Lytechinus pictus: one gene and its partner. The protein of the gene in region 2 purifies or fractionates together with the protein of the main gene of each other region. This does not show direct contact. Links are inferred from orthologs where the notes say so. Each region holds a gene or a part of one and is shown on either strand. Other genes may lie near its edges.

Region 1 (7,703 bases), about 37 Mb from region 2:
TTTATTCATGCTGTAATTTGTACTAAGGATCCCATGCTTACTTAATTCTTCTGTTTCAGCAACTGAATTGATGGTTGGAGACCAGGCTGGAACACCAGCCTACCAGCAATATCCTTCTCAAGTACAAGTAAGTACTCTTTGTAAGGACCCCTGTTAAGTTGAATCGTTTTTAAGTTAATTGCTAAATATGCAACTCATATGCTGTTATAAAATTTAAGCATCAAAACATTTTGTGTAGATTATTGAATAATTTTTGAAAGGATATTTCAACTTGCCACCCCATAAAAAGAGCTATCTCATTCTGGCAGTGATGTCAATTCACCAGTTGTTAGCTAAATAAAGGGAATGAAGCTTTGCTAGAACGGACTAGCTATTCGTAGTCTCATTGAAAAGGTGCAATGTCAGACATGCTGTAGCATCACCAGGGAAAGAAAGGCAATGGACAGGTATTGTATGAAAGCATTTAATTCTATTTTAAGCGTGTGCTGAACTATGGAAAGTGACATACCGGTACTATTGTCTATTGTAAATTATTAGCGATGGTGACTTGGATTAGCAGTTGATGGCATGGTCAAGATGAGTGCTGAAGCTCTTTTGAAGAGGCGGAGCTTAGGAAGTTTAAAGAATATTCTTTCAAAATGTATGCCAATGGTAAATTAGATAACCCTTTTCACAGAGATCACCCAGGCAAGAAACTAGTTCTCCCTGATGGAATTGTTCTTGTCTGGCTCTTCTGCAATTGTGTCCAAAAAATAATAAATAAATAAATAAATCAGTTCCTGTTTTTTTTTATGTCACAGAAGAAACAAAAAGTATGTGTCATTTGCCTTTGCATTTCAGCAGGATGTTACCTTGTTGCACCCAAAATGTTTCATTCGCATTGATTCTAGGATGAGATAGTGCCTGAAATTTACACTCTCGTTATCACATCCTTTGACCATGCTCAAGTTACTCTTAGTTATTTCTAATCAATTTAAAAGGGATATTATTATAATAGTAAGCAGTTCCATGAGAGAATCCTTATTGTCCCTTATTGTTTATTCCAAGTGAGAGATTTATTAACGTTTTGCAATTTACATGCAAAAGAAGGTCAGTTCAATTATCATGTAAATATTTCATTTTCTTAAGGAAATCTGCATGTGTGTATATTCTTTTCCAGATACCGATGACCTTTACGTGATCTTTGTTTGGTGGTGTGCTGCCAATTTGATCATCATCACAAGTCAGACCAACACCTTGAATGCAGTTAGCTGTCAGATCTAGATTCCTGAAGGGCATCTTTATGCACAGGAGTCATACCCAGATTTGTTTTATTGCAAACATGGATTAGCATGCACAGGAGAGAACTCTTCAGGAGTTGCATGATTAGGTTTTTAGTTATGAGAATTATACAACTTTGATGCGCACATGAAATGAAAGCACTTGTGAGAGATGTCTTGTATAAAAGTAACCCTCCTTTTGGCTGTTTATGTTAACTTGGTTTCCCCCTCTGCACCCCCCAGCTCAAAGCTGTTTTGATCTGTATGCAATAAAAATGTGTTTTTACACTTTCCATAGTAGGTTTTCTGTGGATTTTGATTTAATTTCTCACTAACAAATTATTTCCCTTTTGAGTTACAACTCCTTTTATTGTTTCAACAATGATACATAACTCAGATTTATTGTAAATTTTTGGCTTTATGTCATATTTATCTCATCATTTATTTATGGGTTATTCATCCTATTTTTTATATCTCTTTGTTAAAATCAAATTTATATTTTACATGAGAATATGAAATTTGAATATAAATTTCAGTATGAATATGAGGGAATACCCTGCAGAACAGAATCATGCTTAAGTTACACAATTTCAAATGCTTTGATTAAATCACGATGAATGAATTAATTTCCCATTTCTAACATAAGGGGAATTGACTCTACTTAAATACTTAAAAGTAGAGATTGATTGATTGATTTGGTTAACTCAGTTTTCAAGGCCTTTACACCTGAATTGTAACCTTCAGCCATCAAGAGGTAATTGCTGGAGGCATTGTATTTTTAGATCACCTTTTGTCCATTCATTTTAGAATAATTGAATAAGTTTGATGGATCAATTTTAAATTCAAGTGACGTGTTAATTTGGCAGCGAGGATGATTTAACAAGATTTTAGGCTCGTGAGATCAAAGGTAAACAATAGCAGGTCATTATACACCTAAAAATATCTTGTTCTCACAGTAACAGAAAAATCATTAGATGGATAAACTTCACATATATAGATTTGAGTGCGAAGATTGGTCAAAAGTTCAGTCATGGGTCATAGACCCCTCCCCCTCCAAAAAAAGTTTGAAAAGCTTTGCCTGGAAAAGCCCAGTCATTATATGCTATGTAAGGTCCCATTCGCATAAAATTTAAAACTCTTGTTTGATGCAATGAACCAAAGAATAACACCTGGCTGTTCAGTCTCTGAAGTACTGGGTGGTGTTTAAGATGTTCGACTCTATGAAGGACTGGAACATATTCTCAGGTGATTTAGTCAGCTGCATAGGGATAAATCGTTTGACACATTGTAGGATCACCAGTTGTGCATAAAGTCATGTGTAAGTTACAAACAGTTATATGAAATCGCTCCCTGGATGTGCTGATTTTAGAAGAGAATGTAATGTGACCAAGAGTGGAAAATCATGACCTATATATATAATCAGGGTTCCCACAGTCATGGAAAATCCTGGAAATTTTTTTGTTCATTGAAAGTCAGGGAAAAGTCAGGGAATTTGGAAAATTTGTGAAAAGTCATGGAATCGCATTTACCTCTTGGCTATGGCAGCTTTCCAGTTTGTCGTTATTCGTAACTCTCATACTCTGCTATTATAATTGGTATTCATGATTTCCATTTTTCCCAGTTTTGTGACATCCCAAATTCTACATAACTCCCAGAACGTCACAGGAAGTCATGGAAAGCAGCAATTTAGTCATGGTAAAGTCATGGAATTGGTGTTTTCAAATTTTTGTGGGAACCCTGATAATGATTATATTATCAAAGGAGATGGGACAACTCTTTCAAAGTTAACATTTTCTTATGAATTTTCATTGTAATCCACACTCTGTATGAAGATGAAAATAGGGTGAGAAAAAAAATGGACCAACATTTCACAAAGATTGTAATTAGTAGTTGGAATTACAATGCATATTTATGATACTGAAATTGTGGCATTTGATTGGTGAAGAGTAAGTTTGTGATAAATTTGGTATGCATCACTGAAGATAACAAAAGAAACAATGCCCTGATGGGAAGACCTGTTGTTGATCATTTATTTTGTTTATCCTGTAAAGTGTAAAATTTTCTTGGCATTCCTGTTGTTTGTAATGTTTTGCTGCTTACACATGAAATGAAATTTTAATTAGAAAATAATGATGTATATATTGTAAATGGTTGTTCTCAAGTGTATTTGTATGTGTTTCACAACTTGGACATGGTTAATTTTTAAGGACCAGGGGCCTGTCTTACTAAGAGTTGCGATTGATCTGATCAATCGCAACTATGGAAAGCCAGAAAAGTCAACATCTAAAGTACATTTTCAAAATATTTTCTAGAAATGACATATGTTCATACATTCACTGTTTTTTCTTGACAATTCAGTATGCTTCTCTCTGTTTTCAAAGGACAATGAGCCAATTTCGTGAAAATAAAATATGAAATTAATGGATTTCCATATACTTGAGATTGATCGGATCAATCGTAACTCTTTGTAAGACAGGGCCATCGTGGGTTTGTGTATAGTTGTGTGGGAGAGAGAAGGGGAACGAGAACTTAGCGGAATGCTATATGGGTCTAGGAAGATTGGTAATTGTGTGAGAGGGTGTGTGCAGAAGGGGAAAATACTGCCAGGGGGACTGGAAAGCGGGGAGCAGATGCAGTTGCCCCTCTCTCCAAAATCCCCCACAATAATGATATTTATTTATCATATAGTCAAACCTGTTGAATGAGACAAGAAAAGCAGTCTTTGTGGAAAGACTCCCATAATGTGTAAAGTTCTTCAAGGAAAACCAAATTTGTGGTCTTAAAAATAGCCAGGTGATCCTTCTATATAGGCAGTTGCTGAAGCAGGTTTGACTGTGCGTTATCATAACTTAATAAAAAAATCATTCAACATATTACCTTTCATTGTAAAGCATAGAATATTCTCTTTCCTCTGGTGTAACTTCTTATTCACGCATTTAGTGAAAGCAATTTGAAAAAGAAAGGATACCAAAAGGCTTTTGGTAGGTGGTATATGAATTTCAAAAAAGAAAATCACAAGTCTCAAAAGTTAAATATCTGGTTTTTAATAAAGGACAAGTCCACCCCAACAAAATTTGATTTGAATAAAAAGAGAAAAATCCAACAAGCATAACGCTGAAAATGTCATTGAAATCGGATGTAAAATAAGAAAGTTATGACATTTTTAAAATATGGACATCCTGGTCGGTATGCAAATGAGGGAACTGATGACATCACTCGCTCACTATTTCTGTTTTATTTTATGAAATATCCTAATTTTCTCCCCATTGTCATTTGAAACAAATTTTTATTTCTCCCTGAACATGTGGAATTACCATTGTTTTTTTACATTTTATGGTTCAGTCAAGTTTGTCCTTGATGTCAAATCTGTATAAAAATTGAAATCTTGTATAATTCTTTGCCACTGATCTATAGAGCTAGAGGGGAGATAGATGTTCATTGCACGCCGCTGATCTGAGCGAAAACTCGCTACAGTTAAACTGCACTGAGTCTTGAACATAGAATAAGTAAAAAATTAAATATACTCGCTAGCGCTAGCGCGCGCGGTACGGGTATTGGTACACGTGCAAAATGGCGAAAACATCGCACAGACCCGGTCCTTTAAAACAGCAAAATAAAGGCCACAAAACTGGACGACATCGTAGTAAAGGCAAAATCGACGTTGAATTAAAGGGTAAGTTACTTTTATAACTTTCTTTGATGTGTCGCTCTTCCAGGAAAATCCTTTTACTCGGTGATTTGATATTTCCGGTTGAAGACTTCATCGTTGTTCCCTTACTAGCCCTAGTCCCACACGTACAGATTAATGTGGTGCCGGTACCGATTAGTCGAAGATTTCTAATAGTAATACCTAGGCCCTAATTATTTTAAGAACGTAACTTTACTAATGTAACAAATTTTTATATCAATTCCCGATCCGATTTTTCCATTTTTCTTAAATTTGTTTCGATCTCTGATTTTTTATGTCTGCATCTGGATAAAATGAAAAAGATCGGTTTTAAATTTAAGTTAACAATAACAACATGGAGTCATGTCATGACTCAGTCATTGTTAACTTTTAGTTTTAGTTTTATGGCTTATGCAAAAACATTAATTATTACAGAAATACAGTGGCCCAGTGGGTGATTTCAAGTACGGCGCGGTGTTGAAATCTGGGGGGCGTTTCATGAAAGGACTTGTCGGACGTTTTATCCGACAAGTCTCATTTTATCCGACAGTTACCGTCCATAGGAACAGTGCCTCTCACTCTCAGTCTCAGCTAGCCAGGCGGCTTCTAGAGAGTAAAAATCATTTACTAACGTAGCGTAAGGTCACTCTCATACGAAGCCAGGGCTTCCGTCATATACTTTTGCGTGTACCACCAAAAAACCTGAAACTTTCGCCCCCGAAATTTCTACTTTCTTTCTAAAAGATCTAGCCCTAAATCATGTTGTACATGGGATAAAACTTCATTTCCGACATTTCTATGCTCTCGTTGTTATTTTTTAACAAGAATTCATCAAAAAAATGAGAGAAATATTGTGTAAAGACGGAAGAGACTCGCCCGATGTTTACGCCGCCATCTTGTTTTCTATTGTTCTTCCCCAACGTTACCCGACGCACGCGTCTGTAACGTTGGCGAAGAACAAATCAATAGAAAACAAGATGGCGGCGTAAACATCGGGCGAGTCTCTTCCGTCTTTACACAATATTTCTCTCATTTTTTTGATGAATTCTTGTTAAAAAATAACAACGAGAGCGTAGAAATGTCAGAAATGAAGTTTTATCCCATGTACATGATTTAGCAGTAGAGGCGCACGGCCAATATGGGAGACTCTCTCCAATAGAATAGGGGAGACAATCTCCCACATTGGAGACTTGCTTTGCAAAAGGACAAAAGAAACAACACCAACAAAAGCATGATTTTTTCCACCCAAAATTTTGTCTCACTGAGGTCAGAAGCCCATTTGTTTTGTGTGTGATTGACAACAAAAATCCTTATCAAAACAAAAGTAGACAGTGAATATTTAAAGTAGACGGTGAAAAGAGGTAATTTTTCATGAGGAATCTGCTTATCACATTTTTATTTGCCGCCAAGGTAATCCTTTTGCAGCAAATGTAAACAAAGGAAATTGGACTCCAAAACTGGAGACTGTCTCTGAAATTGGATACCCAAATTCTTTACAAAAGTCTCTGATATTGGAGATAATCTCTCACATTGGAGACAGTCTCCAATATTGGCCGTGCGCCTCTACTGTTTAGGGCTAGATCTTTTAGAAAGAAAGTAGAAATCTCGGGGGTGAAAGTTTCAGGTTTTGGCTTCCATTGTGTGGGTCTATGGGATAGAAGGCCTGGCTTCATGAGAGTGACCTTACGTTAGTAAATGATTTTTACTCTCTAGAAGCCGCCTGGCTACTCTCAGCCAATCAAAATCATGGAAAGATGTCAGAATGATGTCAGATCTGACAACTTGTCGGATAAAAATATTGATGAAACGCTCCCCTGGTGTTGGTGTTGTGACAATACCAGCCACAACACTGTACTTGAAATCAGGCTGGTGTTGGGATTGACCTCGGAATATATGACATATTTCCGGCAGTTCGTGTTGAAGGATGGTGCGTGAAGTTGAGATGATTTAGCAGCGCAGAGGCGTGACGTCATGTGCTATCGACAACGCAATCAGTATCGTTCCTCTGAACCCAGCTCGGTGTTGGAGCTCGGTTCAGCGGCCTTTTTACGCTCTCAACACCAAAACCAACACTGAACACCGTACTTGAAATCACCCATTAACATCATTTTTTTTCTCATATAAAAAAAAGTATAAAAAAATGAAAAAGCATGTGTAGGTATGTTGCAAAAAAATAAATTTGAGAAATCGGGTGTTTGCTTCATAGCATCATTTAGAGCTCATCAAGACCTTTCATTTAATACCTCATTTCAATAGCCCCAGTAACAAGAAAGTTAAAACTTTGGTAGTTTTTTAAGTTCGCACAAATCGCCTCTTCAATTCTTATGTATTCCTTTGTTTTTGAAAAACAAAAGTTGTGACCTTAATTGGGACCAAGGTGCACTAATAATAGAAAACAACAATGCGCATACATTGGTATATGGAAGTGCCCAACAACAGTCAACAAAAATCACAGACATCGCCGAAACGGACATAAAAAACACACTTAGCGTCAGTAGATTTCTTTCAAATTTCACCACAATGTACGGTAGTTGAAATGTTGTTCTATTGGAATGAATACCTTTTAGAGTGGGATGATACCTGTAAATATGAATAGCAAGAAGTTGAAAGCAAGACCAAAGTTCCATTAGCACACAGAGTTGCAAGATCACCGAGTGAGGTTTTTTTTTTCAAGTCTGGACAGCTGCCATAAATATTCAACTACGTAAAATCAATGATGTCATTGGGAATAACCTTTCCTTGCACATGTAAACACCCCGGGGGGGGGGGGGGGCACT
Region 2 (6,942 bases):
CTGAGAAATCTTCCACAGAACTTTGAAAATCTAAGTCAAAGTCACCTTTTACACCAATGAAATGCAATTCTACAGTCTATATTACGAAAATCTGGTGTACCCTGATTATTTGCAAGTATTAAGAAGAGGAATTATGACCTCTCTTTTGACTCAAAAAGACCGATTTCCACATGAATTAATACACATAAAAACACATAGGCAAGTACATCACAGTCCCACGTGTGCATTTGTATGTATGTTGATACTTGGTTTCTTTCGAAGCTGTGTATTTTCTAGCCTTAAACAAACAGACAGTTTCTTTCTTTCTTGTTTATAAATGACTTCTTAAACCACTCTTGAGAAAGTAAATACTTTGGGAAGGCATTTCATTGATATGAAATGTGATTTTTTTTCCAACATTTTGGCAAATATAGGGAAGGACTTTTCTCACACTTTTTTTCCAGATATAGTTTTTGCCGTTTTTTTTTTTTCTTTCATTTTTTTTTGACAGTGGTTAAACCATTTATACCCCTTCCCATTGAATATGCCTGATTAAAAAATATGTTTCTACTGAAAATAAAATAATACAAACTAAAGGATATAAAAATAGAAATGTGCCATTCCCAAAAGGTAAGTGAAAATTATATACTTGGCTTTTAATTATATTCCAGTCAGAATAGACTGTTGCCACAGCTATCAAAAATATATGTAATGGCTTCTTAATTTTCCCCTTTTCCCCATTTTTATATTAACTTTGTTTTATTAATTTTTCTTTCATTTTCTTTTCTTTTTTCTCTCTAATTTTATTCTTTTCTTTTTTTCTTTTTTTCCCTGTTCTTTCTTTTTTTCCCTGTTCTTCGTTTTTTCTTTCTTCGTTTTCTTTCTTTTGTTTTATTTCACTAATTTCTTTTATTATTTTTGTTTTCTTTTTGTTATATACTTTTTGAAAATTATTTTCGTTTGTTTCTCCCTTTTATGCATTGTTCTAATTTTGCAGCATATTTTTCTGTGATTTTCTCCTTCTATAATATGCTGCAAAAGAGAAAACAGAAATAAACTGGATTTGGGGCATGCATATAATCTAGGTTTTAGGATTCAAAGAGGAAGGAAGGAAAAACCATTGTTTTGTACATCTATCTGAGTTTGCTATGCACTATTTATTTACTTTACCATTATCTCTATACAGAGATTTTAAAAAAAGTCCACACAACCTGCGAACAATACAATTCATTTATTCACTTTCAATCATTTCATTTTTACAACGATAGAGACAATTACCAATTAGCAAAGTAAAATAACAGCAAACAAGGTTTACATACAAGATGTATAAAGTGAAAGGAACTTAGTGGTAGTGGCTGCAGAATTAATTGTTTTATTCATTTTTAATGTTTTTCTTTATATTTTTCGGGCCACCAAACTTTAATATTGGGCCACCAAAAAAAATTATTTGATGGTTTTGGTGGCCCGAATGGGCCACCACCAAAAAAAGTTAATGTGGAGCCTTGATATAGTACTTTCCAATGATTAGAATTTTCAACTTTCAATAGCTTGTAATGCTCAGTAGGTTATCCATCTCTCGGATGAGGGGGAGGCAAGGGTAAAATTTTTTTTTTTTTTTTTTTTTTGAGGGGGGCGATAGTTCTGTGCACCAAATTATAATAAAGAATTTTGAATAAGGAGCGCACAGAAAAAAATAAAATTTTGTATGTTTGATAATATTTCCATGTCAGGTTTAATGTTTCATAAAGTGCTTTTCTTTCATGCTTTTTAAATTTTGCATTGCATAATTTATTATTTCAAAATTATTGGGGACAAAGAGATGTTTGCCCCCAATAATTTCATGGGTTGATCGACCCCTGCCCCCACCACAATCGATCGAGTCCTCCGTCTCCTGTAATAATTTCGTACCCATGCTGTCTGAAATAATCCATTCTTAATTGCAACAATCACCCCTTCCCACGTCTGGCTCTAGTCTAACTTTTAAGTTTTCTTTAGCCATACATTTTCAAAGTCTTTATATCCTCAAAATAATAAAATATTATAAAAATAGCTCATCAGTGATTTTGCTGTTTTCTCAACTTTTCTCACAGAAAACACACACTCGGTAAATACGATACTATTTTCAAGTGAATAAAATATTTCACTTCTTTGACTAGGAGTAGGACTAGTAGGAGGGGTGTGATTGGGAGCCGAGCGATATCGTAGGGGGACGTTGACAAAAAAAATCGCCAAGATTTTTACAAAAAATCTTGGCGAAACCTTTTTACACATTTATTTGTGTAAGTCTAGACCTCTAGTCTAGACCTAGATCTTTATGGTAAAACGTAAAAGTTTGATGAATTTTATGCGAATATTGTGTTCGATATGATTGAATTCATGAAGTGTTTGGTAATACGATAACGGATAAGTACCATACGATCAAATTAAATCCTTGGCAAGGCCTTTTTTGGCTTAATTTTCATTGTCAAATTATTCAAATCATTGTCAAATTATTCAAACGACAAATGAAACATTTTTCTATTAAAATCCTCCACAAAACTGATATGGCATAAAATCTACATTTTGTAGTCTACAGTCTTACTAGACCTGGTAACTGTAAATGAATTGGAGAGTGATGTGCACTTTGTAGAGTGAAGCGGCGCACTGTCGCTTCCTGCAAAATTCCAGATAGCATACGGTACTCATGTATGTAAATACGCAAAGCCAAAGCTACGGTACCGTACAGAACCCGGTACCCTATACGGTACCGTGGCCGTATACGGTATTTACTACACAAGAAGAGTCATGCGAATTCAGACGCGACATCTTCGGTATATTTGAGCAACTAGCTCGTCAAAATCTCTAGTGTCCAGCAACATATGACAATGAATTTTGAGAATTTTCAATAAACTAAATATCTTAGGTACAGGATTAATCTAATATAATGTATATGCTTATGATAAAATGCGTTAAATATTGTGATTTAAGGGCACGTGGGATAACTAACCCATTTCGAGTGAGATTCATGCACGTAAAAAGGCCGAAAATGGTCAATTGTCTATCGTTGAGGGCGCGCGAAAATTAATGCTTTGGACATTGTTTGCATGGATATTATAAATTTGATTTTTAGATGCAGACAGGGGCCTAAGGGCCTTCAGTCCCTCCGCCCCACACATTTTTTTTCCAAACCGTGTATAAAAACATAAGAATTACCATCTGATTTTTTTTTTTTTTTGCATTGTCACCCCCCCCCCCCTTCAAAACTCCGCGGCCCGCCCCTGGCAAAGGGGCAGAGGTGCATGGTGCATTTTAGGATTATGTAGGGCCTACCAAAAGTCAGGAAATATTTTCCAGCCTATATATCTAGGCCTGTAAGTCCTGCCAAATTGACATAGCTATATCCCGGGGGGGCCACTTCCATTCACGAATGGATACCATGCGCGACCATGGGGTCTCGAAAAGCACCCTAAACACGTAATTTCCATATTCTGAAAATGCACCCCTTAACAAGTATTGGCGTGTGAAACCCTACCCTTAACAAGTATTGGAAACAAGACGACACTCTTGGCAAATATTCCCTGAAATGAACCCCTAAACAAGTACAGGAATGTTTTATTGTTACGGGTCCTTCGGTCGTCGGCTTTACCTTATTTGGTTTAGTACGACCCCACCTTCTACACATGGGCGGAAATCCCAGGGGGGACAGGGGGGACGTGTCCCCCCTACTCAAAATAGTAGGGGGGACACAATATCAAATGTCCCCCTACTTTTTTTTGTCTTTTATGATGGTAAGAACTATATCATTCTAAATCGAAATAAAACATGTATTTTGGGACGAGTTGGGACGAGATGACCGCCGTACTTTTGGGATGATAACCTTTTTTTTCCTTGTCAAATTTTCCCGCCCGTTGTCCCCATAGGCGGATCCAGGGGGGCCAAGGCCCCCCCCCCCCTATTGGCGGAGCAAAAAAAAGAAAAAAAGGGAAAGAAAGAAGGAAAAAGGGAAAAGAGAGGAGAAAAGAATAAAAGGACGACGCGTGCATAAAATAAGATGAGGGGAAGACTTGGAAAAAAAAAAGAATCTTTCGTGGCACTATATAAAATTTTCGCTCGCGCTTCGCGCTCGCATTGCCTGTTAGGTGATTTACAATTAATCTTGTTCAATATGGAGCTCAAATATCAAGTTTGGAAGTCAATATACAGAACATGTTTCACCTCGGAAATCGAACTTTCATTATTTTGTGTGATTTACAAATTGATTTTAAAAAGTGTCTGTAAAAATGTCACTTTTATGGTCTGAATAATTTTATCAACATTTGCTGCTTGCTCGCAAATTTTGATTTATCAGGTACCTATTATTTTCGTGTATTCCATAAAGTTTTCAAGATATCCCTTTTCAGGTCTGATTGTCAAGACGTATCAGCTAGCGCTGCACGCTGGCATTTTGATTGGCGAGTTATGTATGTTTCAATATTGATAATACAACAAACTACTTAAAATCCCCTTTTCATGACAGTTTATAAAAAAAGTTAGCCCTCATTAGGCATTAATAAATATATTAATTTAATAATTAAATTGTCCCTTTTGTTTTATCTCGCGCTTAGCAAGAGGAATAGGAAGATAGTCATCAGTTTCATGACATGTTTCTGTTTCTGTTTGTGGTAAACTCCCGTAGGAACTCGGCAGGACAGCATTTTTTGCTGGTAAACGCCAAGCTGGTATATAACCAATTACCTTGGAAACATTTTACGTCTAGGTTAATCAGTCATAGTGGCTGACGTACAGATATCCACTCTTGGGCCTTTTTATCAAAGTGGAGACTATGACAGAGTTGGGATTCAAACTCACAACCTTGCGATTATGAGTCCAATGCTCTAACCACTGGACCACACGACCCTGACATGTCGTAAGGATGTCCCGGTCCTATGTCAAAACTCAAAGTACATGAAGTAATAATAATGAAAATTTTAGCTCTTTTTTTTAAAGTGCGATCCATATCCACCTTACAATTTTCCTACAAAGTGCTTGAAATATAAAGCTGTAATTGACTCTTTTTTCAGATCGGAATATTAAAGTTTCATGATCAAAGATGTATTTAGAATGCCTAGATTCTAGGTCTAAATATGAAACACGCGCGCGCATGTTTATTCAAATACTCAACTTGTTCTCTATTTAAATCATTATCCAGTTTCAGATCACAATATCAAAAATTTTCTGCTCGCGCTTTGTGCTCGCATTATTAATGTAGGAAGCCCGGGGTAGGAAGACCCCCTATTACTCATCCTTTTTATGATTTACAAAACATTGATTTTGATTGATTTATTTTATTTAAACACGGTAAAAAGCCCTCGATCAGCCTCGATATCACCCTCGATATGGCTGTTTACAAAACATGAACAGAGTGGCCCATTTTTAGGTCTAAATCTCGATTTTTTTTTCTGCTCGCGCTTCGCGCTCGCATCAATTGTTGAATTATCATGATTATATAGCTATCCTGTTCACGATTACAAAAATTGATTAAAATTTTCAATTCTTTCTTTACAAATTTTCAAAAATTTTCAGCTCGCGCTTCGCGCTCGCATTTTTTGATTGTTGAAATATGTAACACCTTCATGGCTAAGTGCAAGCAGTCCTTAACAGGTATCTTTTCAACAGGTACCAGTTCAAAACGTATATAAAAATTTTCTGCTCGCGCTTTGCGCTCGCATTATTAATACTCATCCTTTTCATGATTTACAAAACATGAATAGAGTGTCTCGTTCAGTAAATATTATAGGACTAAATCTCGAAATTTTCCGCTCGCGCTTCGCGCTCGCATCAATTGTCTACTTATATACCTATTCTGCTTGAGTACAAAAAGTGCTTAGAATTTCCATTCTTTAGGTGAAAATGTCACCAAAAAAAATAACGCGCTCGCATTATTTGATTGTTAAATGCTAACTGCACGCAGTCTTTAACAGGTATCTTTTCCATCAGTTCATTTCTGCTCGCGCTTTGCGTTTGTAGTAATTATTAAGTTGCATACACATCTTTTCAGGATAACAAACATTGCCCAGAATGTTCAAATTTTAGGAAAAAATACATAACATTTCCTAAAAATTAGCTCGCGTTTCGCGCTCGCATCATATTAATAAGGATTATGATATTATATATAATAATAATAATAATAATATAGGGTATTTATATTGCGCACATATCCACCTTGTTAGGTGCTCAAGGCGCTCCTATATTACCCGGCTAAGAATTTATAAATTAAGAAATTATGAAAATAAAGCTAAGAAGTGACTAATGAGGACTACCCCTTCAAAGAAACAAACACAAATCATCTTCGAGCTGCCGATCGGGAAAATGTGGCTGAAACAAATTTCCGCCCCCCCCCCCCTATAGGCGAAGGCTGGATCCGCCCCTGTGTCCCCCCTACCTTTTGGGAGAGATTTCCGCCCCTGCTTCTACACCTCGCGCAAATCGGACTCTAAACACGAAGTGTTGGGGCAAAATGGACATCCTTTATAAAACATTTTAATTTTGTTTTATCATTCCCGCAAATTCGACCCTAAACACGTAATTTTCCTGGCGAAATAGACACCCTTTTTTCATTATTTTTGTGTTTTTGACACCCTTATCACGTTACGTACGTAACGTGCCCTATCGTGAAAAGGACATCCTTTTTACGTGTTTTTTTGGTCGCGCATGGTATCCACTCGTCAATGTAAGTGCCCCCCCCCCCCGGCATGGGCGGAAATCCCAGGGGGGACAGGGGGGACGTGTCCCCCCTACTCAAAATAGTAGGGGGGACACAATATCAAATGTCCCCCCTACTATTTTTGGTCTTTTATGATGGTAAGAAATACATCATTATAAATCGAAATAACACATGTATTTTGGGACGAGATGAACTTACTTTGACGATGATAACCATTTTTTTTGCTTGCCAAATTTTCCCGCCCCTTGTCCCCATAGGCGGATCTAGGGTGATTTACATAT

Evidence for each region. Proteins that work in one complex are often made in the same cells at the same time.
Region 1: the proteins of small ribosomal subunit protein uS12 (region 2) and pre-rRNA-processing protein TSR1 homolog fractionate together in Homo sapiens (co-fractionation; 3 studies listed by BioGRID and IntAct, with this or other methods). This does not show direct contact. The link is inferred for Lytechinus pictus from reciprocal best matches to the Homo sapiens genes RPS23 and TSR1.

The regions. Positions count from the first base shown.
Region 1 is NC_087247.1:46,017,636-46,025,338, reverse strand, and holds the start of pre-rRNA-processing protein TSR1 homolog, read left to right. Parts: upstream 1-4,696; 5' UTR 4,697-4,829; coding exon 4,830-4,932; intron 4,933-7,703. Other genes in the region: nuclear transcription factor Y subunit beta-like, read left to right, coding at 60-127, 1,160-1,180. UniProt on the Homo sapiens protein: Required during maturation of the 40S ribosomal subunit in the nucleolus.
Region 2 is NC_087247.1:9,442,254-9,449,195, reverse strand, and holds the start of small ribosomal subunit protein uS12, read right to left. Parts: upstream 3,028-6,942; 5' UTR 2,970-3,027; coding exon 2,966-2,969; intron 1-2,965. UniProt on the Homo sapiens protein: Component of the ribosome, a large ribonucleoprotein complex responsible for the synthesis of proteins in the cell.